Struthio camelus: one gene and its partners. The protein of the gene in region 1 interacts with the protein of each later gene in a pairwise test. Links are inferred from orthologs where the notes say so. Each region holds a gene or a part of one and is shown in the gene's direction. Other genes may lie near its edges.

Region 1 (7,158 bases):
AGTGTATGCAGAGTATTGACTACTGGCAAAATCTCCACAGGCTGCTTCTTCTGCTCTGCCTCTGCTTTGAGTCTCTGGCAGAACATATCATATGTACAGAACCTATCTCCAAACTCAGATTAGATTAAAGGCTCAACAGCATCATAATGCAGTTTTAAACCCCTGTGCTACCATGAACACAAATGTCAGGGCAGCAAGGTCAGATTCCCATGAATGTCTGGCAGTAGAGCTCTTTGGAAAAGACACTACCAGTGCAAGTTGGTGAGATTTGGTTTATTAAAACTCTTACTGAAAATGTACATCCTTCTTGGATTCCCAAGCTCCATCATCATCTTGCGAAGGATGGCACGCCCAAAACCTACTTGTGACTGATCAGTGCTAAAACTTCTAACTTCAGCACACTGAATGGCTAACAGGACCTCATTATGGACCTCATACAGGACCACAGAAGCCACACACTAATGCATACCTTGGCAGAGAAACAGCAAGGGAAATAGTTATTTTAGCACAGTCACCTGCTATTGCCTTATGGCAGATGATTGACTCAAATTCTTGCTTTGTTTCCTCCTAGGACCTCAATCCTGGGAGCTGCGGGCTGGCTGTGAGGCAGACAGGTCCAGCATGGTGGAGATGTGTAGCTGGCAAAGGGCCATGGAGATGTTGCTTTGCTCTCCGTGTCAGAGCCTCGGAAAGCTCAGAGCTGTCCTTTCCTCAGTGAGCTTCATCAGAGAATAAAGTAATATCCGAAATGAAGCTGGATCATTTTAAATCAGAGAGGCAGTGGATGGCAACCAGCTTTACGGGACATTTTTTCAGAGAGAAAGGCAGTAACATTTGGATTAATGGATCTGCAATCCATCTTTCTGAAGTAGCTAGAAAGTGTGTTAGGAGGCCACATTTACCCAAAGCTCATCCCTCTTTGCTTGATGTTAACACCAGATCCAAATATGCTTTGCAATCAGACTGACACCTGGGGAGTAAATACATCATCAGTGCCTAGTATAGAGTGGACTAGGGTTGGGGACAACTGTCCTGTGTCTAGGTTGCTTTTACAATGTAGCTGGGATCTTTGAATGATACAAACAAAAAATTGGCTAACATGAAAAGGTTGAGGCTTTCCAGAGCTGTCCAAACATATGTCCTAACTACCACATTTTTGCTGCTTATACAGCTTTCCATAACTGTTTATCGTTCTGGGAAATGAGAAAGGACTGTTTACACAGTAGCTAAAGGAACATGCGACAAAAGGCTGCTAACCCTAGGATGAAGAATATTTTCATCAAGAAACAACTGTAGGATATTCCTCTTATCTCCTTAGAAACTAAGTCTTTAGGCCATGCTTCTAGTCCATGGTGTCTGGAAGCAGGGAATTTTTGCATGGACAAAAGAAGACATGTGAAAGTCATTTGTTCCAGGAGACTTGACTCAGGCTGTCAGATTGTGTTGCTTGGCAGGGACTGAGGACATGTTATTATAAGCCTTCATGTTAGGATGAACCCTCCAGATGCCAACCTCTGATTGGTTTGGGGTCAAAAACATAAAACCTAACTGGGCTCTGTATCAAACCATAAATCAATTTGTCATATCAGAAAACCTGGCACGCTTTTTGTGTTACTACCAAACCTCCACAGCTTGACCCATGTTTGCTATCCAGATGAATTATTCAGAGAAAAGCCAGGAGGTGAGAATATCTTCTAACGGATATTAATCTACCAATACTTTCTCTCAGCTTTTCAGACACTGTTGCAGGTGGATAAGGAAGCTTGTGTATACAAACTGACATTTACAAGTGGTGGAAGAGCTCTCAGTTACGTACTGCAGTAATAGTTGAAGCGAACAGTCCTGTGTTCTTACCACAGCAGGATACAAGTTCTGTTACCCTTTGTAAAATATTATGAGCTGCTATATGAAACTTGAAATTACCCTTTATTTCTGGCTATAGTTTTTTCTGCACCTCTTTTAGTGTTGTGGTTTAGCAAAGCAGTTGTTCTTCAGAGATTTACCTTGGGAGAACTTACTGAGTGTGTGAAAGATAGGGAATTCCAATATGGAAAAGATCATTTTCTCTCAGAAGCTAAATTCTCTCCAGAATGAAAATTGTTCAGAGAAAGAAAACCAGCATTTGTATAGAGGGCTTTGTGTATGCAAAAAACCACAGACTATCCCTTTCAGAAAGAACTCCTTTGGAAGCTGGGATAAAGAAAGAGAGAAAGTGGCTCTGAAAATGTGTATCTTTCTGAAAACGACCATTGAACTGGATTCTCCCCATAGCATTCCCTCGTTTGACCCACCATGGGTCATGAGGAGTAGCTTGAGGTAGCAAGAAAGGGGAGAAACAGATGCGGACATGAGTGCTGCCTCCTCATGCTTTCCCACAAAACGTAAGTGTCTCACAGGATGCTTCCTCTGGTCTCCTGGAGCAGTCACTGCTGTCACCCATGGGGCCATTGCAGCCAAATGTCACGTCAGGTCCCTGGGCTCAGCCTCCTGCTCACAGCCTGGACAGGCTCAGGAGTGCCCAGCCACAGCTTCTGATGTCCAGCCATGGCCATCTCATTTCTGGGCACCGTGATAGAGAGTCCATTTTGGGGCCACCATCCCAACAGCTGATAGAATGCTACTTCCAGGCTACGATTTTTTCCCAGCTTGTGTCAGTGCTTGGGATGAAGATAGCGGGGGCTGGTTCTCCAGAGATGTGGAAATAATAAATAAATCCAGCAGTGGTATCAAAGCCCTCAGCAAATAGAGGACAGTAGCTTCAGCCAGGAGGAGGAAGGACAGATAATCTCAGCTTAACAGAATAGTGCCTCATCTGAGAAGTATGTTGCTGCGTTAAGGAGAGGGTCGTTTGCCTATTTGTGCAGGCTGCCTGATCTTGTTTCTTTACCTGCCTCTGTAAAAGAGAGGCTTTTCTTTTCCTCCTCTTGACATCTCACTGCCTACCTTCACAAGTGTAGACTCTCTACTTATCAGGTCAAACTCTTTATCTCATGTCCTGCTCTCCCTGCTCCCCAGACAGAGCAAAACCCCTAAAGGGCAATTCTCAGTCAGGTGGCCACAACAAAAGCGTAGAAGTCCCAGGTCAAATTGCAGGGAGGAACCAAAAGGACCCACAAGGCCGTCCTGACAGGAGAAGTGGCATGCAGTGAGGCAATTGTGTTTCATTCTGGGTGAAAAAAAAGGTTAAAATAGTTCAACTTCGGGCCAAGGATCATGTCTCTGCTGCAACATACTCCAGAGTAGTGCAATAAAGTGAGAGATGGACCTAGCAAGGAGATAGGCTGTAACCCTAATTCTGCATGGAGCCTTGCTTGGGCAGGTTTTCTTCTGAGGCCAGAGGGGCTTTGCCAATGTGAGTTGCTGAACTTTTTTCACCTCTAATCTCTCATTCCTTAAATGTGCGAATGTCCCCTTAACCTAACGTAACAACTCCATTACAGCAGGAAGGAAGCCCAGAGAGGAAAGCAGTCTCCTGAGTTATGAGTGCCCACTGCCAGCCTGGCACATATTTATTTCTTCACCTCAGGCTAGTTGCTAGAGCTTCTTTGTGCTGTAAAATGGTAGAACTAGCAATGCCTTCCCCCATACAAGGGGTTGCAAGGGTAAAACGTGGCAGAATATGAGGGACTCAGACTCCCTTTCAACAAGATGCATACCTGAGATTGATGAATGAAGGGCAAGTTAAAGTTTGTTACATCTTCAGAGCGGTTAGCATTTCCTAGAGTGTTTTTGTTAATCCCAAAGCTTTGACAAATCGTCTGATTTAGAAGCTAGACTCTTACAGCCCAGCTAAAATATCAGGCCATTAAATTACTCTCGTTCTTTGACAGTCCCTCCTAGAACCTCGCTACGCTTAGGTGAGCGTATTTTAAGGTCAGACATTCCCGAATCAAGCAGAGTAAAGGGCCAGGGTTGCTCAGGAGAGTGGCAGCCCTTTCCATTACAGGTCTTGTGCTACCGTTAACTATGATGCCTTAAAAGGCCAGGAGCACAGAGGTGATGCTGTTCTTATCTCCTGTGGATGGCTGGTACTTTGGAGATATTATATTTATAGCTTGTCTAAAGAACGAATGCCTGACTGTGTAATTACTAAATGCATAGTTTGGGTAATCCAATAAAGCAGTAAGTCGCTGCATTTGTCTCTGCCTTCTCTCATTCTCACACTAGCAAGCAGAGGCACCACCAAGTTGCAGCAAGGTAAGAAAACAACTTCTTTCGATTTTAGCTGTCTTTTGGCCCCTTTACTCCTTTTCATCCTCCCTTTCAGGAGGAGGGCTGGAAATTTGTCAACACTTTCTATGTAGAGATCATGAACGGAGTGCTTCTTTCTTGCAGGAAGAGTGGCTTTTCGGTTGTTTGTTCATTTTTCGCTGTCTGTCAGGGCACATACATAGTGTCTCACTTTGCATTTCTAGTCTGCTGTTGGGAACCAGGTGCTAAATAACAGCTGCTCTTTAGTTTCTGCGCTAATAATATGCTGTCATGTTTTCATGTTCTCAGGGAATACAACCATGTCTAACTAGAGACACTTTCCTGGTTTGAATAGGAAACTGAATGACTTCAGGCAGAAAGCTTTTGATTAGTTTTTTTTTCTCTATCAGCATTTTCTTCTTTAGGATGAATATTTGGAAATTGAACAGACAGTGAAAAAAAGGGGGACAGAAGGAACATTTATACTTTTTTTTTTCTGTCTTTGACACCGTTTCGTAATGGTCTTGAAAGAGAGAAAGGCAAATTACACACGATGCTTGCTGATTTTGTGTTTAAACAATTATTTGTTATGGATTACAGCAGCTGTGTGAAAGGGAAAAAGAAAGAAAAGCATTGAAACGTAACTGGGTGTCAAAGCAGGAATTCTTCAGAACTTGTCTGGAAAACAGCATTAGCAACAACTGCCAAATGCCAATTATCAGACCGTTGTTACACTAATTTACTTTTAACCTCATCTCATGAGAGTATTAATTTTCAAATGAAGCGAATAAAAGAAGACCTCTTTGGAAAAATAAGATTGTTTGTGCATGTGTGTATGTGCATTTAGATGCATTTATACATGCGTTTTTATTATAAACATTCTTGTAACAAGAGACTTTTTCAAGCAAGGATCACAAAGTATGAAAGGTAAGAAATATTAATTTATTTTTAGCCAGAGATCAGAAGGTATCATACTTTGCACAGAGTTTTATTTACTATTCCCTTATTTAAGTAAAGAAATAAAAGAAGGCTTATTTCCAAATTGCTGAGCAACCAGTGCTTCACAGACTCTGATAGGGATGTTGGCTCTCTGGAGAGCAGGACTCCTCAGGCCTGATCCACATCCAAGGCCTGTACAAATGGCTCATCTCACTTCAAAGCATTTGAGACTGGGCCTAATGCCTACGTGCGGATTTCAGAGGCAAAAGGAAAGATCCTTACTTGATACAAACTGTCAGACATCTATGGACATTGCTGAAATATGGATGTTTCCATCTACTGTTGATTGGCCTGTACATGTGGAAATGTTGGATCCAACCCAAAGGCGGTTGTAATAGTGAATGAAATATGCCCAGAAATACTTCTGCTGGGAAAAGTGGTCCTGGGGTCACCTGGTCTGAGCAGTCTGTGTCCATGCCATTATGCACTCCTGGTGTCTGAACAAAGTGGCCACATCTGAAAGGTATCCTGGGGTTGGGCTACCCACCTCCCAAACCATGCCGAGGATCTGGCTGGGAGAGGGCTAGCTGGCGCACGCCAAAACTGCGCCAGGGACAACTGACCAGCGTGGCCAAATGAGTTGCGGAGCCTGGAGCATCCTGTGGTCCTGTCTGATTTATGAGTATTGATGTAGCCCCTAGTGCACCCCTACCTGCATCTGAACTTGTTCTTTTACACGGCCTCAATTAATGTGTCTCATCCAGCTGAGCTATCCTGGCTTTCTCTGGTGGGGGCCTGTGACCGTCAGTGCAGACAATATCAAAAGAGCAAGCTTAGAAACTAGTTTGTTCCATATTTTGTGTGAAGAACAGCATATAACGTAAGTAGAAGAAAAAAGGAATGCAGAGTACCAAACTGGCTGCACACATCTATCTTATCTAAAGGCTTACTATCCCCTCACTGATGCCTGGGGAGGCTTAACTTCTTCAGATATCACAGTCAGAGCCTCTGCACATCCATCTGTTCTCCAGCAGTTACTGTCCCACCGCTGGCCCAGGATCTGTTCTTTTCAGATCCTTTCAGAGCTCCAACCTTCTGGTCCCCAGAACTGATAAAATGGGTTTTGTAAGTTGCCTGGCGTTCAAACGTAGGTGCTTCCCACTGAAGAGCGCAGTGTTGCCTCTAAGCAGTCCTCCAGTGTGGACTGGGAGACGCCTTGCCCAAGCCCATTGACCCATGTTGTCTTGTTTATCCAGGACCCTGCCATTAAGCTAAACTGACGCCACCACAGTAAATTGCATAATAAAGAAGTTACATACAAAACTAATATTTTTAATAGAGTAGCCTCGTTTCTGCAGTGCCAGAAATTTACTCATGTCCTCAAATTCTTTCTCTGTCATCCAAGCCTCAGGCAAAAACAATAGATACCACAAAATCTTTCTGGTTATGTACTTAGAGTTAAAGTATCATCACTGGTGTATTGACAGTATTCCCTCTAAAAAATGAGAAGCAAAAGTAGCATTCCAGTTATGTACAGCAAAACATCAGGCTTTTTTTGAAAGAAGCTGGCCAAAGATCTTTAGCTTGAAAAAATGCAGGAAGGTACATACTAATGTAGTGATTTTTCACTGGATTTGAATTTGAAAGTGAAATAGGATAAAATGTCCAAAAGCCTATTCCCAAAGTGAACCTATTCTAAAGGCAGTCTTTCCAACAATAATACTCTGTTCTTACCTAGCATTGGAAAATATGATTAATGGATGAATAACTTTACTTTTTCCCTTCCAAACAGTAAGTCATCAGAACAAGGCAAACCTTTGATAGCAGCTGGCAAGAAGCTGGGGGGGGGGGGGAGGCAGACTCATTCAAACACTTCTTTAATATAGAAATTCTAAAAGGCCATTTTATAAGGAAGAAAATTAGAGAAGGAAGGGAATGTGAATACTTACTTTGGGATGAAATCCTGGCCCCACTGAAATTAATTAATGGAAATTCTGCTCAGAAACATCCACTGATTTTAATGAAGTC
Region 2 (7,089 bases), on another chromosome or scaffold:
TACTGCAAGTGCTGGATTAACGGAGGTGCTGTGGGGCAGAGCGTGCTCTGGGTCTGTGTGTGGTGGAGCGGCTCGGCTCCCCGCTGTGCTTGGGCTTGGCGTGTGTCAAGGTCAGTTGCTGCTTGTGAGAGGTGTGGGTGTATCTTGGGGGTGGGGTGCTGTCTGCTCGGGGCTCACAGAAGTTGTTAAGGAGTCTTGTTGTTTGGAGGGATAATTCATGGCGGCTTCTCCCACCCACAGGAGCTCCAGCACAAAGCTCTGCCGGCCGAACTGTGCTGACCCAGTAGCTGCCCTTCCTTCCACAGGAATGAAGTAGTGAACAGCAGCAGCCTGTGAGGAGCTTTGCTGGTAACAGTTAACACCTCCTTGGAGTGTACGTGGGACTTTACACCTCTCTGAGGTGTAGTCTCTGGCTCTCTGCGCACTTTGGGATGCGCCACAGCTTCCGTTTCTGAAACTATGTCTGACAACAAAGACACGCTCTTATGTCTTTGAGAGAGCGGCAATCTGACCACAGCCAAGGCTGTGGGTGTGCAGCAGCCGCTCCTGAGTGCAGCTCCTCTGCCCTCCGCTGTCCTCTCTCTCCTCTCCTGCCTTCCTTCTGCAGGAGGGTGCTCCGTGGAGGGGTTGTGGGAGCTTGGAATTGATTCAGCCCATTAACAGAGCTAATGGAGCTGGTGAAGTGGTTTGGCCGCTCTCGCAAACTGGAGGAGTTCTTGGGAGCGTTTCTCTCCCTCCCTCCATCTGTTTGGAAGCGAGTGGTGATCCTCTCCCTCCTCCCCTGTGTCCTGAGCTCTGCTCCCATCTCTGTCTTGCTCCCTGACTTCAGCTATTCAGAAGCCGGTGGGGTGATGCTGCAGCTTCCAGGAGCTGAGGGTTCAAATCCAAGAAAGGGCTTGGAGTGAAGTGAATCCTCTAAACAAGGAAGTCTTTTCTCATGACACGTGAGTTACTGTTTAACACCCCCCCCCCCCGCCTTTCATTCTCACCCCAACCGAAAAAAACCCCTTCGTGTTTCATGCCTGAGCCTGCGGGAACAATGTCCTGATGGGTGAGTCGGGCCTGGAGAAAGCGCTCCCTTCTGGAAACCAAGCCTCATTTGGAAGTTGGCCCTTGTATCGAAAATAAAATTCTCATGAGACAACACTGAGGGTGTAACACAGTCTGTAGCGATTCCAAGGAGCATCAGCGAGCACGTATGTGTGCACGCACTCCCGCTCTCACTACTGTCCGTTCATCTGGAGGTAGTAACAGCAGCCCCCGTTTGTACAATGCCTCGCGTGGTGCGGCCGTGCCGAGATTCAGTTGCCGGCTGCTGAAAGGCAGCTGGTGCTGGGGAGGAACGTGGCTGTTCCCAGCACACGCACAGCCCAGGAAGGACCAGAAGGTGGGGAGGTGTCTGGTTCTCAATTCACAAAACGTTTTTTTGGGCTGGAATTCCCCTACCCGCTGGGCCTCTACCCTGAAGCAGATTGTTGACAGGGGGGTCAAGCCTCCAAGGAAGTAGTGGATTTGCCATCTCTTGATGATTCCTAATCCAGACCAGCTGCCGTTCTCAGGCACGTTAGCCAAACAAGTTACTGAGCTCAGCGTGGGGAAGTAGGATGAATTCCCGGGCTGGGAAGTCGCAGTGGCTGCTCCAGCGGTCCGTCCTGGCTGAGCTCATGCGCTGAGCGATGATTTCTTTAAATGCTGCTCAGCAGAAAAACCGGAGCATGGAGCAGAAGGCAGGGCTGGCAGCTCTGCGTATCTTTGCGCAGCGGCTGCTGCTCCCCAGAAGCCTGAGCTCCCGGAGCCCTGTGATGCTATTAGGGAGTTGGGTTGAGCTTGGTGGGGGGAAAAGTGAATTTGTAGGCTTGCTTGGGAGGAGGATGGCTTGGGAATATGACACCCATTAAGGTTTCAGGATCCAGACACTGATGGGGGCCTGTAAACTCATTTATTTTGAAGCTCGTGGTCTTGGTGCTGGGAGGAGAGCAGGGTGAGCCCTGCTTTCCCCACTGTTGGAGATGCGTGCTGGGACCCCTCGCCTCCCCTGCTGTTCCCCCTCCCTGCTCGCGGGCACCGCGCTGACGCCTCGGTGAGATCAGACGCTTTGCTCAGGGTCCCCTCGGTGCCGAGGGACTGCAGCGTTAGCCCAGGTCATGTTTTAATTTAGACCGGCCGCTCATCTCGCTTCCCGACCGCAACCACCTTCTTTTCTATTTATACCAGCCTGATGCTCCGCTGATGCCATCCCCTCTCGGCAGACGGGCAATTCACAGCGATTGCTGAAAGAGGAGAGGCCGAAGGGGAATTCTGGGCTCCGAGCTCAGCCCGCGGCGCGGCTCGCCCGCGTTTCTGCACGAGGGGGAGGGCAGGTGAGGCACGGCGGGGGTTAACGGAGCCTGAGCAGCCCGGTGGGACAGGGCTGAACTGGGTCCGTTCCCTCCTTCCCCTCCCAGGAAGCGATGCTCCCTTTCCCACGTCAGCAGGGATATTAGAAAGGATGCTGGATCGCAGAAGGGGAAAGGGCAGGCGAGCCGTGGGGAGGGCTGGGTGGGGGCCAGGCCGGTGGGAAGGGGCTGCCAGCAGGCCGGGGCTCCGGGGCGCCTCCTGGGCGCGGGTCCCGCGAGCTGGGGGCCGAGCCCGCCGGCGGGGCCAGCTCATGCTCCCGCGTCCAGGGCCGAGCCGGAGCTAATTCACACGGCCGGAGCGGCCTTGCCAACTCACAAATATCTTCGCAGGCCTTTGGAGAGCGGGAGCGGTTAAAAATAGCCAGTGTGCTGGAAAATATGACGGCCCCCGTTTCTCCCTTCCCCTCTGAGCTCCCGTTTGGGGCACAGGGCAGCGCTCGAGCTGCAGCCGCTGGCCCCCGCGGCCGAAGTGCGTCCATGCGGCAGCGGGTCCCGCATGGGTTTGCGCCCGGGGTGGCCGAGACGGCCCCTGGGTGCGGCGTGGCAGCTGCCCCGCGAGCAAACAGCCCCCGCGCAGCCGCCATGCAGGATCGGGGTGCCGGGGCATTGCTGCAGGATGGGGGTGCCAGGGTATCGGGGGGGGTCACCGCTGGTGTTGGGGTATCGCCTCTGGGCGAAGGCCCGCAAAGAGCGGCGGGGAGGGGTGTCACTGCGGCAAGACTGGCTCAGGGCAGCGTGGCAAAATCAAGGTCAGCAAACAGCTCGCGAGCGCTCTTTGGTGCATCGGCGCCTGGGAAGGCTCCAGGCTTGGAGCGCTGCCTTGTGCCTCTCCCCGCGCCCGGGGCCGCCTGCCTCCGGCCAGCCCCGGCGGAGCGCAGCGTGCCCGGCTCTCGTCGGACGCGGCAGCGGACGAGCTGCGGTTTGCGGGTCGGAGAAACCCTGTGGGGCTGCCGGTCCCCGGGGGCTGTGCTTGCACCGGGGAGGTCTCCGAGCAGCAGCTCCCGGGAGGCGGCCGGGCCATGGGGATGCCTGCTGCTGCGTGTGTGTGCGAGCTGATGGCGCGCAGCGCGGGGTGCACCACACTGTCACGTGCTGTGCAGCATGGGGTGCGATGCCCTGTGATACGCCGTGCAGCTTGGTGTGCAATACACTGCATTACGCTGTGATATGGAGTGCAATACGCTGTGATATGGGGTGCAATACACTGTGATAAGCTGTGATACAGGGTGTAATACTGCGATATGCTGTGCAGCATGGGGCATGGTACAGCATGTGATACGCTGTGATATGCCGTGTAGCACAGCGTGTGGTCTGGTGTGCGAAGTGCTGTACTGCACGGTCTGGTGTGCAGTCCGGTGCACGATGCGCTGCACGGTCCAGTGTGCTGTCTAGTGCACAATGCGCTGCATGGTCCGGTGTGCAGTCCGGTGCATGATGCGCTGCACAGTCCAGTGTGCTGTCCAGTGCACAATGTGCTGCACGGTCTGGTGTGCAGTCCGGTGCATGATGCGCTGCGCTGCATGGTCCAGTGTGCTGTCCAGTGCACAATGCACGGCACGGTCCAGTGTGTGGTCCAGTGTGCGCTGCGCTGCACGGTCCAGTGTGCGGTCCAGTATGTGATGCACTGCGCTGCACGGTCCGGCATGCGATACGCTGGGCGAAGGGGGCGTGTTTGCTGCGAAGCCCGTGCTCCTCCTCGCTGCCAGGAGCAGAGCGGAGCAGAGCAAGCTGAGCCGAGCCGAGCTGAGCCGTGCCGGCAGGGCGGGCGGCCGCTGCTGGCGGAGGCGCGCCGGGATCTCCGTGAGCCGGCGGCGGTGGGAGCTGTGGGGCCGGGCACCGCCGTGGCATGGCAGCGCCTCTGCCCCTCTGGGTGCCCTGGCTCAGCCTGCACCTCCTGGGCAGCGCTGCCTTCAACCTGGACGTCACCAACACCCTCCTCAAGGATGGCGACAAGGGCAGCCTCTTCGGCTTCTCCGTGGCTCTGCACCGGCAGCTCCAACCTGAGCCCGCCAGCTGGTGAGCCCCTGCTTTCGCCCCCTCCCGAGGGCTCGCTGCGGTGCTCCCCCGCGGGGTCCCCTCTCCGCCAGCACCTCGCACCGCAGGTTTTGGGAGCCCAGGGTCTGTGCCCCTCGCTGGGAGCCAGCGGGCTCTCGGCGGCCAGCCCGTCCCCGTGGCGTCGGGGCTGTCGGGGCTGCGGGTCTGTCGCCTCCCCGTCCCTGGGGTGCCAGGCGGGATGGTGTCGGGTTGCCTGCTCCCTTGGGCTGCCGGCTGCCCTCTGCTCGCTGGGCTTCAGCAGGGCCGGGGCCGCTGCGGGGAGCCCGGGGTGGGGACCCGGCCGGGGTCCGGGGCGGATGGGGCCTGGGTGGGGGCTGGTTCTGCTCTCGGTGCCAACGCGGAGTCGCCCGATGTGTCCAGGGCTGCAGGCAGGACCTGGCTGGACTCGTGCCCTTCGCAGGCACCCTGGGCTCCCTGCAGGGAGCCCCCTGCTCAGGTTCCTCCCGGCTTTCCCCGTCCCTGCTGCGCTCGGTCGCTGCCGACTTCGTGGCTGGGGCTGCTGTGTCTTCCCTGGCTCCTGGCGTGACTTTGGGTCTCTGCTGAGGGGTCAGGGACGCAGTCTCCGGGATGCTGGAGGGGTCAGATCCTGCCCCCCACGCGTGGTGTCTGAGCATGCATGTGGGTGTTGGTGTGCACGTGTGTGTGTGCTAGTGTACATGCTGTGCACGTGCACGTGTGTGCTGGTGCTAGCACACACACGTGTGCACATGGGTGCTGTGCACATGCATGTGGGTGCTGGTGTGCACGCTGCGGGAGCTCTGCAGGCAGCTGGGACCACTCGATCTCACGGGATCGGGGGGCCAGGGCTCTCCCCCAAGGCACCAGCCCGCGGTCCCCTGCGCAGCCCCGGCCGAGCCCAGCCCTGCCGCTGCTCCTTCTCCTTTCCCTGGGAGTGGGGAGCAAAATCGATAGCCCCGAGCATGGCCGGGGGGCTCGGCAACGGCTCGGCCTCGCCGGCCAGCCTGAGTCAGCGGGGGCCGCGGCGCGGAGGGGGTGCCCGGCGGATGCGCCCGGCGGGCACGTGCCCCGGCGCTGAGCTGGCAGACGCCCACCCGGATTCCAGGGCAGCCGCCAGCCGGCTGGGCCACGCCAGCCGCGATGGGACCCCGGCGCCGGGCCCCTCACCCAGACCCCGGCTTTGCCCCGGCGCCGTTGCCCTTTGCCGCTTGCGAAGCCCCAGCAAACACCGCCCCGGTTCCTCCGGGGGGGTCGGTGCCGCCGCCGTGGCCCCCGGCCGGGGACAGCGAGCCGGCAGCGCGTCCCAGCTCTGGGCTGGCACCTCGGCCCGGGGGCCCCGGCCGCCGCGCTCTCCACATTCCCGGCCTTGGAGGGTTATTTTTGTTGCCGCCGCTCCCGGGCAGGTATTTGCAGCAGGCGCCGGGCCGCGGCGGCTCGACCCCGCCGTGCCGGCAGCTCCGCGGCGCTCGGAGACGTCCCCAGTGCCGCAGAGCAGCGTCGCGGCCGGCTCCGTGCGGGGTCCCGGGCGCCGGCGCCCCGGGCACTGCCCGGCGCCCTGGCACCCGCGCTGGCGCGCCCCGTGCCTCTTTCGGGCTCCCTCCTTTTTTGGGCATGTTGCTGCTGAGTTATTTTGAGTGAATTCCAGTTTATTTTTACCAGCTCTCCGCCGTCTCCTGGGGCTCCCTCGTGTCTCGAGGCCGCTGTCCCCGTCCCCCGCGGAGAGGGCAGAGGTGGCCACGAGCCAGCGCGGCGTGTGGGCATCCAGCTGTGCTTCGCCTCCGGCTGCCCCTTCCCCTGCCCACACATGCACCGAGCTGCGGCTGAGGCCTGGGAGCAGCTGGGGCCGGGGCGGTTGGCACCCAGCGCGCCCGGCGTGGGTGCGTGCGGCGGGGTGCGTGCACCCTGCCCCGTCCCCGAGCCCTCGCCCTCGTGCACGGTCTGGCGCTGCCCAGCCCGGGCAGCTGCCCGGCCCCAGCGAGAGGCGTGAAATCGGTGCGTCGGCGGTGTCTGCGCGAGGACAGCTGCGCGGGGGCGGCGGGGCCAGGCGTCCAGCCCGGGCAGCTCTGCGGGCGCTCGAGCAGCTCCGGAAAGGGTGCAAGCAGGAGTGCGAGCATGCAAACCCTGCAGTGTGCGTGCAAACCCCATTGAGGGCGTGTGAACCCTGTGGTGTGCATGCAAACCCCATCAAGAGTGTGCGAACCCTGCGTTGCACGCACAAACCCCATCAAGGGTGTGTGAACCTTGCAGTGTGCACACAAACCCCATCGAGGGTATGCACACCCTATTGAGGGCATGCAAACCCCATCAAGGGCGTGCAAACCCCACTGTGCACGCACAAACCCCATCAAGGGTGTGCGAACCCCGTGGTGCATGCACAAACCCCATCGAGGGCGTGCGAGCCCCGCGGTGCGCGTGCAGACCCGGCAGCGTGCACGCACACCCAGCCCGGCGCGCGCCAGCCGGCCGCGCCGTGCGCTGACGCTCGGCTCCCTGTCGCCGCAGGTTGCTGGTGGGGGCCCCCCAGGCGCCGGCGCTGCCCGGCCAAGGTGCCAACCGCACGGGCGGGCTCTACGCCTGCCCGCTGAGCCCCGAGGTCGGCGACTGCTGGCGCGTGCCCATCGACGACGGAGGTGCGCGGGGCCGGGGGCCGGCGGGCGCCGCGGGGGTCCCGGGCTGGTGG
Region 3 (7,141 bases), on another chromosome or scaffold:
CTCAAGTTTTCTGACTTCACACTAAAAAGTGTATATTTTTGAGGAACAAGATGTGTACTTTTCGGATGCTGAGGTTGGAAATGCTAGAAGATTTTTAACAGTGCTAACCTCTAGATGAGCCTCACAGTGAGCTACATCTATTTACTAAATGTGGTTGGAGAACTACTGGACTCTTCCATGTCAGCCTTAAAGCATTTTTATGAGGAAGTTTCTCTACTGAAAAGTTTTTAAAAATTCCCTTGGATCAGATTAAAATGTGTGGACTAAAGGGACATTTCTAACACTTGGCAACCAAGAAGGGTAAAATGATGAATGTTATCTACGGTTTGGTATTTAATGAGCACTGGTATTTAATGAGTATTCAAATAATCGTTATTTGCATGCTGAATCAGAAGAAAGCACAACTGAGGAAGAAAATAAGGAGTGGAGAAGGAAGCATTAGGTTGTGCACTCAGCTGCCTGATTACGTTTCATCCTGCACCGCCTTTTTTCACCATCTTCTTTCACAGAACTACTGAAAGGTAGAGATACTCTTACAAATTATACAATTTTGCTACCAAGATATTTTGCTTACCCTCTGCTATAGAAATATAACTTTGCCTTGCTTTTCGTCCTTGATGAGCAGTTCACACTCCTCAGGTCTGGTGTCATCCACACCTTCTGAAGTAACAAAAATAAGGGGTTTTAGCTAATTTTTTTCTTTGGATAGTGACCGTACATACCTTTTTTATTTCTCCTCTGGAATACAGTAGCACTTCATACACTGTCTCCAAGTCATGCCTTTCCCTTAAGAATCTGTTAAAATCCACTCTTCTTCTGTCTATGGGTTTTCAGAGCAATGCTTTTTCTAAGTCTCTCAGAATTAGAGTAGTAGCTAAAGCACAACAAATTCTCCCTGTTCTTAAGGCTCTTTTTATCAAAATACTGTTTTTTGGATCTCCAGCCAGAACAGTTCTGACTCTGTTGGAGTATCTTCCCTGGCTAGATTTTCAGACCTCCTTCCAGCCTCTGAAAATACCTCATAGAGGTAATGTTTTTCTGTGTGTAATGTTTTTCGGTGTTATTTAGATGGAAGAGATTCACAACATATTTCACCTACCAGCCTGTCCGGCGAAAAGGGCTGCTTCTCTCCGTAGTGCTACTTTCTACAGCCCAGTACTGGCTTTGAGACAATAACGATTAATGATTTCCTCTAGCAATAGATAATTATTATGCCTCCTTGATAGTTTTATTGTGCTTGTGGCTGTCTTTGTCAACAGCATGTTGCTATCGTGCTTGCAGAAGTCAGTGATCTTAAAATGGCTACCTTCCCTGGGAGAAATCTTATAAGGTAATTTTGGATAGTTGCTTTTCTGCCCCAATGGATTCCATATGCATTTCGCTTAAATGCTTCTGCTAATATTGAACTGTGTTTGTGAGGCAACCAAGATGGTTCTGGGAGAGTATAAACAGGATAAACCCTTCATTTTCCTCTGAAGCAGAAGGCGCAGGCACATGCTATTTTGCATCATGTCAGAGCGGCTGGTTCCTTGCATATCTTAAGTTACACTTAGATGGTGTTGGTACGTAGGGGAAGTATCCAACAACATGACAAAGATTTTATCAGTCCCTCTGATGACATATCTGCAGTTTGTCAGCCGTGTGGTCGTGTTCAGGACCGTGTGTTTGACTAACAACCACTTTATCATGCTGGTGTGACCATTTGTGTTGAGAGCGGACCTTGTGGTCGTGTCTGTGTCTTTGTCACTTCACGGTGACGTTACCGTCCCCTCTACAAAGAGATAATAGGAAAGAAGTGCAATCCTTTTCACTCTTGAATTCACCTTCTGTGTAGAATGGAAGAGCTCCATCATGTTGCCCTTTAGGATATGATACAAAAGAGGTGTTTAGAGAAGGAGCGTTCTGAGGGAGACGTAAAGCTCGTTTCCCTTAAAGATCAAGCTTTCTTAGCAGAAAAAGTGGGAAAGTGTTTGTTTTGTCTGCGCTGCTGTTACTTTGATAGTGTTTAATTATCTTGTCATTGAGAACTGCAGTCCATTATATGCGGCCATGTTACATCAAATTAAAATCGAACATGGCCCATTTCTTATCCTAGGGAAGGATGGTTTTGCTATTAAACAGTATAGAAGTAGGGTCATTTGGCTCTGTTCCTGACTTTTCTCACATTTCTCTTATGTCCTGCACCTAGGGAGGAACAGCCCCATGCACCAGGGCATGCTGGGGGCCAGCTGGCTGGAAAGCAGCTCTGCAGAAAAGGACCTGAGGGTCCTGGTGGACAACACGTTGGACATGAGCCAGCCATGCGCCCTAGCGGCCAAAAAGGCCAATGGTATCCTGAGCTGCATCAGGCAGAGTGTTGCCGACTTGTCGAGGGCGGTGATCCTTTCCCTCTACTCAGCGGCACTGGTAAGGCCATGCCTGGAGCGCGTGGGTCCGGTGTTGGGCTCCCCAGTACAAGAGGGGCATGGAGCTACTGGAGCGAGTCCAACGAGGGGTCACAAAGCTGCTTAAGGGACTGGAGCATCTGTCGTGCTCCAGTATGAGGTGAGGCTGAGAGAGCTGGGACTGTTCAGCCTGGAGAAGAGCAGGCTCGGGGGCATCTTATCAACGTGTACAAATATGTGATGGGAGGGTATAAAAGAAGATGGAGCTGAACTCTTCTCCATGGCGCCCAGTGACAGGACTGGAGGCAACGGGCACAAACTGAAACACAGGAAATTTCATCCAAACATAAGAAAAAACTTTTTTACCGTGAGGGTAACTGAGCATGGGAACAGGTTGCCCAGAGAGGTTGTGGAGTTTCCATCCTTGGAGATACTCAAAAGCCATCTGGGCACGGTCCTGAGCAATGTGCTCTAGGTGTCCCTGCTTGAGCAGGGGGCTGGACCAGAAGATCTCCAGAGATGCCTTCCAACCTCAACCGTTCTGTGACTCTGTGATGTCTTCTTAAAGATGCTTAAGATACTAACTTTGCCATGAAACCATAGCACGTTGCTATCTTAAAAGGAAAGTGATGGTATTTAATTAGCTGGCATTTGCGAAATGCTTGGGGATCTTTGGATAAAAGGTGCTACTGAAGCATGAAACGTTATAATTAAAAAAACTGTTCACTTCTCATTTTGTTTTCACTCTAGCTGTAATTAGGCAGGGAGGTTTCCCATCCTGTATGCACCCTGACATCTGTTCCTGAGCACAAAGCTTCTGCGATTTGGCATATTTTCATCTTCTAAACGAGGAGACAGAACAGCAATCCATGTTACGGCTCATGAACTTTCCACGGTTTCTCTCTCCGATACCAGCGGAGGTGACTCGCGTAGCACACGTGCCTGCATGAAAGTCGTCTGAAAGAAACTTGATAGAAGACACGCAACACTATAAACGGAGGCCAAGCTCGTCTCTCACACCTTTAAAAGGCAAGGCGGTGTGCAGCGTATTTCCTCTAGGTTGTCCGCTCACCCAGCTCGGAGGTGCACGCTGCAGGAACCGCAGCGTCCAGCTTGCTGGTAGCGAGTTAAAAGCCTCGTAGTAGAGTTTAACAGCTCTTGACGAAAGCCTGGGATTTACCCCATGCCTCTAGAAGTGGCTGCTGATTTAAATACTAGGCTCGATTCTCCGCTGAGATGTTTACAGACCGGCAAACCACTGTTTTATTGATGCCCTGGATGCATCCGCTCTCCTCAGGGCAGTTAAACGATTGCGCCGCTACGCTTCGGGACAACTAAAATACACCTAGAAAGTCTGTGTGAATAGCGCGAATTGATGCCGAAAGCCTGGCGTCGGTCGGCGGCCTTTGAGGGAGAGGTCGCTTAGCAGGGTGCTGGACCTGGAGGCAGGTAACTGCCTCCGAGCTGCCTTCGCTACGTCCAGTTTGATCAAGACGGTTAACCGTAAGTCTGAAAAGCAGAAGGGCCGGGTTCGGTTATGAAAACTTTCAACCGTCACAACGTTAAGGGTACTTGAGGCACAGCCAGCCCAAGCGACTAGAACAAAACCACGCTTATTTTAAAAAGCAGTTTCTGCGGCAGGTGCAAACCAGCGGAAACCAACGCCTTTCCAGAGAGTCTGCAATAACGCAGCTTTGAGGCTGAGGGAGAGGAGGGAGGCGGGCGGCGGGCGGTGCCGGTGGGCGGGCGGGCGGGCGGGCGGGAGGCGCCGGCGGCAGCGCCTCAGCGTGCGGCCGCCGCCGCCCCGCTCCGCGCCCTGCGCAGCTCGCGGCGCCAGCATGGGCGGCTCTGCCTCCGGCCCGCTGGACGACAGCAAGTGCGCCTATATCCGAGGTAGGGCGCCGCGCAGGGCTGGGCGCGGCCGACGGGGCAGGGGAGCCGGGCTGAGGGGCTGCTGCGCCGCGCGGCGGGAAACCGCCTGCCCTCAGGGCGCCCGGCGCGGGCTGCCGCATGGCGGCGGCGGCGCCGAGGTTGGGCGGGGCGGGGGGGTCTGCTGGGCGCCCAGACCTTAAGAAAAAAGCCTGCCGGCTCCGGGTTGTGGGGCACAGCGCAAACTGGAGGGAAACACTTTGTCCTGTTAACATTTAAGAGGAAAAAAACTTTTTTTGGTTTGTTTTTGTTTAAAACATATCGCTATAAATTCGTGCGTTTTGCTGTTAAAGAGCACAGTTCCCCAGGGTGTGTTTTGGGGCCGGGGGGGGGTTAATTTCTTTTTGCCACGCCGGCGGCCAGTGGCCAGGAGGTGAAACACCTTTCGCTGTGGCGCGTCTCGGTCCCCTCCGGCCGGCCGGCGGCAGCAGGTAACGTATTTACGTGGCGAATTTTACCAGAAACTTGGGAGCGAAATAAAAATTTTGCGCCTCCGAGGGAAGCCTCATCTCTCCCCCCGCCTCCCCCGGCCCGCCCGGTACCAGCCCGAGCGCGTGCGGGGCTGGTGGCCCAACCTCGGCCTCCCCTCGCCCTCGCCGTGCCCTCCTGGCCCCGACTCGACGCCGAGCCGTTGGCCGAGAGGCGGGAGCGCCTGCGAGGACCGCCGTCTCGCTGGAGCTCCTCCGCTTCCCCGGCTCGGCGAAGGAGGAAACGCCGCAGCCGCTCGCTCTGGCCGTCTGCGTAGAGCTGGAGAACTCGGGGCAGCGAGCTGAGGAGCAGCTGCCCCCGCTCGGCCCAGCCCGCGCCTCGGCTTAGCTCGCCCATGGCCCGCCTCGAGGTAGGGCGTCCGCTCGGGGCGGAGAGGCGCGAAGGCTCTTCGGCCCCGTTTGCCTGTCGGCTCTGCCCGAGCAAATGGTAAAGTGAAATCCTCCCGCAAAAAGGAACTTAAGACGTAGCCGCCTTTATCGCCTGGCTCGAGTTTGCCGCCCTTGCCGCCGGCGAGGATTGCCCGCTCTCGGCTCTTGCTTTGACCAAGGACGCCCTTCGTGCGGCAGCTGCCCGTGAACGATTACTTGCAGTGGGAAAAGGACTCGGGAGGAACGTCTTCAAATGCCGACGTTTCCTTAGAGCGCGGTCCGGCGCGCGCGCCAGACTTGCAGCTCCGGCTGAGGTTAGAGTTGGCGTGATTCAGACCTTGCTTAGCTGCGGCTGCCTTCGGCACAGCTTGCTCCGGTGCGTTCCAAGAAACGGAAGCTGCCTGAATCGCTCGCTTTGTAGATGGAAAAACCAGCAGTTTTTTAGCCGGCTTCTCGAAGGTTAGGCTAATTTTATTTTGTGGGAGGTTTTTTTTTTTTTTTGGTGCATGTGTGGTTTTTTTTTCCCCGCCCCGATGTAGAGGAGCCTTCAGTAAAAAGGGAAGGGAGATACCTGCTTTTTGTTAGTACAGCTGTAAATCTGTAGTGCTTCAGCGGAGCAGCTCTGGTGAGGAAGGCTGGGAGGCATCGAGCTCAGGGGTGTTACCTCACACATCTTACTTAGGGAATGCAGCCAGTTACCTTATCCAAACTCGGTGTGGTTTCTTAAACGGGAGATACTCTCGGTCATATTGGCCCAACTTCCCCTACGCCCAGAACAGGGAAGCCTGAGTGTTGCTTCATGTGAGGGTTTGGACTAGAGTATCTCTGGCACTCCCTTCCCACCACCGTTTCAGTGATTCTGTGAGTAAATTAGTATTTGCAGTTCCTGCGCGCTAGTTTTGGCGCTGGATTTTGGCATCTGCCGTAATCTTCTCCGTGACCCCTTCTCCGTGTCTGTGCAGCAGAAGCTTGCTGAGGTTGAGCCCCGGCTTGCTGGAGGGTAGTCCATGCCGTGCCAACCTCCACCTACATCTGCAGGCTCACCTAGGTGTTGTGTCAACGGAGCAGCATTAAGCGCTGGTCCCAGCCAGGTTTAGCCGAAATCATATGGGACAGAGCTAAATGTGACTTCTTGAGCGTGTTGCATGACCGCTGTGTAGTTGTTGTCCCGATGCTAATTTGCTGTTGTCACAGTGGTAATTTAATCTGTCTGAAGCAGCGTCCTGGCGCTGGAAAACCTTGTAGTTTACGTAGATAGTACTTAAGCTACAACCTTATAGCAGATGGAAAAGAGAGATTGCGGGCTAAAGGGACAGAGGCGGTTTTCAGCCATAAACCGATATGGTTTCTCCATTGATGTATGTACAGATTTACAGCTCTTATAATTCCCAAAGATCTGTTTGCTCATATTGTGCGTTTGAGGGATGAGAGGAGAACAAAACGGGTACAAAAATTGTGTATGTAAAAACATGTCAGTGTGTCCACATAAATCACAGAGAACTGTGCCACCAGCACCTGCTGCAGGAGAAGCCTAGGAGGCACCGTGCTTTGGGCTCTTTCTACCCTGCGGGTGAATAACCTCAAGCTTTGTCAGACCAGTTGGAGGAATGAATTTCAGAGACGATTAAGAAAGCACTTGCCTAGGAATGTCACAATTACTGAATGCAAGGACTGTGTTTTCTGCATAAACCTGCTTCAACTTCTGTGCTCTCTGCAGGAGACAATGGTAGTATTGGAACAGCCAAATTGCAAATCGTCAAGACTTTTGTGTATTTGTGTGTGAGGCGGTATCTTGAGCCGTACCTGGAAGCAGGTAGAAAGCTAAGTGTAATTGTTGAAATGAGAATGCAGTATATTTTCTGTAGCAAACAACGCCTAACAGGAGAATGTATCATGTCAACATGCAATTTTTCAAGTGGTCTTTGGCAGTTGTTAGCAACATGCAAGGCTATATTTGAAATTGCAAAGGCA

What was found. The genes of interacting proteins can lie anywhere in the genome.
Region 2: the proteins of FHL2 (region 1) and ITGA7 interact in a two-hybrid assay, tested with the Homo sapiens proteins (2 studies listed by BioGRID and IntAct). The link is inferred for Struthio camelus from reciprocal best matches to the Homo sapiens genes FHL2 and ITGA7.
Region 3: the proteins of FHL2 (region 1) and NIBAN1 interact in binary tests that used the Homo sapiens proteins (3 or more experiments, as listed by UniProt). The two-hybrid records come from large-scale screens. The link is inferred for Struthio camelus from reciprocal best matches to the Homo sapiens genes FHL2 and NIBAN1.

The regions. Positions count from the first base shown.
Region 1 is NC_090942.1:154,185,917-154,193,074, reverse strand, and holds the start of FHL2 (four and a half LIM domains protein 2), read left to right. Parts: upstream 1-4,155; 5' UTR 4,156-4,197; intron 4,198-7,079; exon of another isoform or gene 7,080-7,158. UniProt on the Homo sapiens protein: May function as a molecular transmitter linking various signaling pathways to transcriptional regulation. Negatively regulates the transcriptional repressor E4F1 and may function in cell growth.
Region 2 is NC_090969.1:808,271-815,359, forward strand, and holds the start of ITGA7 (integrin alpha-7), read left to right. Parts: upstream 1-4,082; 5' UTR 4,083-4,242; coding exon 4,243-4,412; intron 4,413-6,911; coding exon 6,912-7,039; intron 7,040-7,089. UniProt on the Homo sapiens protein: Integrin alpha-7/beta-1 is the primary laminin receptor on skeletal myoblasts and adult myofibers.
Region 3 is NC_090949.1:3,952,020-3,959,160, forward strand, and holds the start of NIBAN1 (protein Niban 1), read left to right. Parts: upstream 1-4,134; 5' UTR 4,135-4,222; coding exon 4,223-4,277; intron 4,278-5,507; exon of another isoform or gene 5,508-5,581; intron 5,582-7,141. UniProt on the Homo sapiens protein: Regulates phosphorylation of a number of proteins involved in translation regulation including EIF2A, EIF4EBP1 and RPS6KB1. May be involved in the endoplasmic reticulum stress response.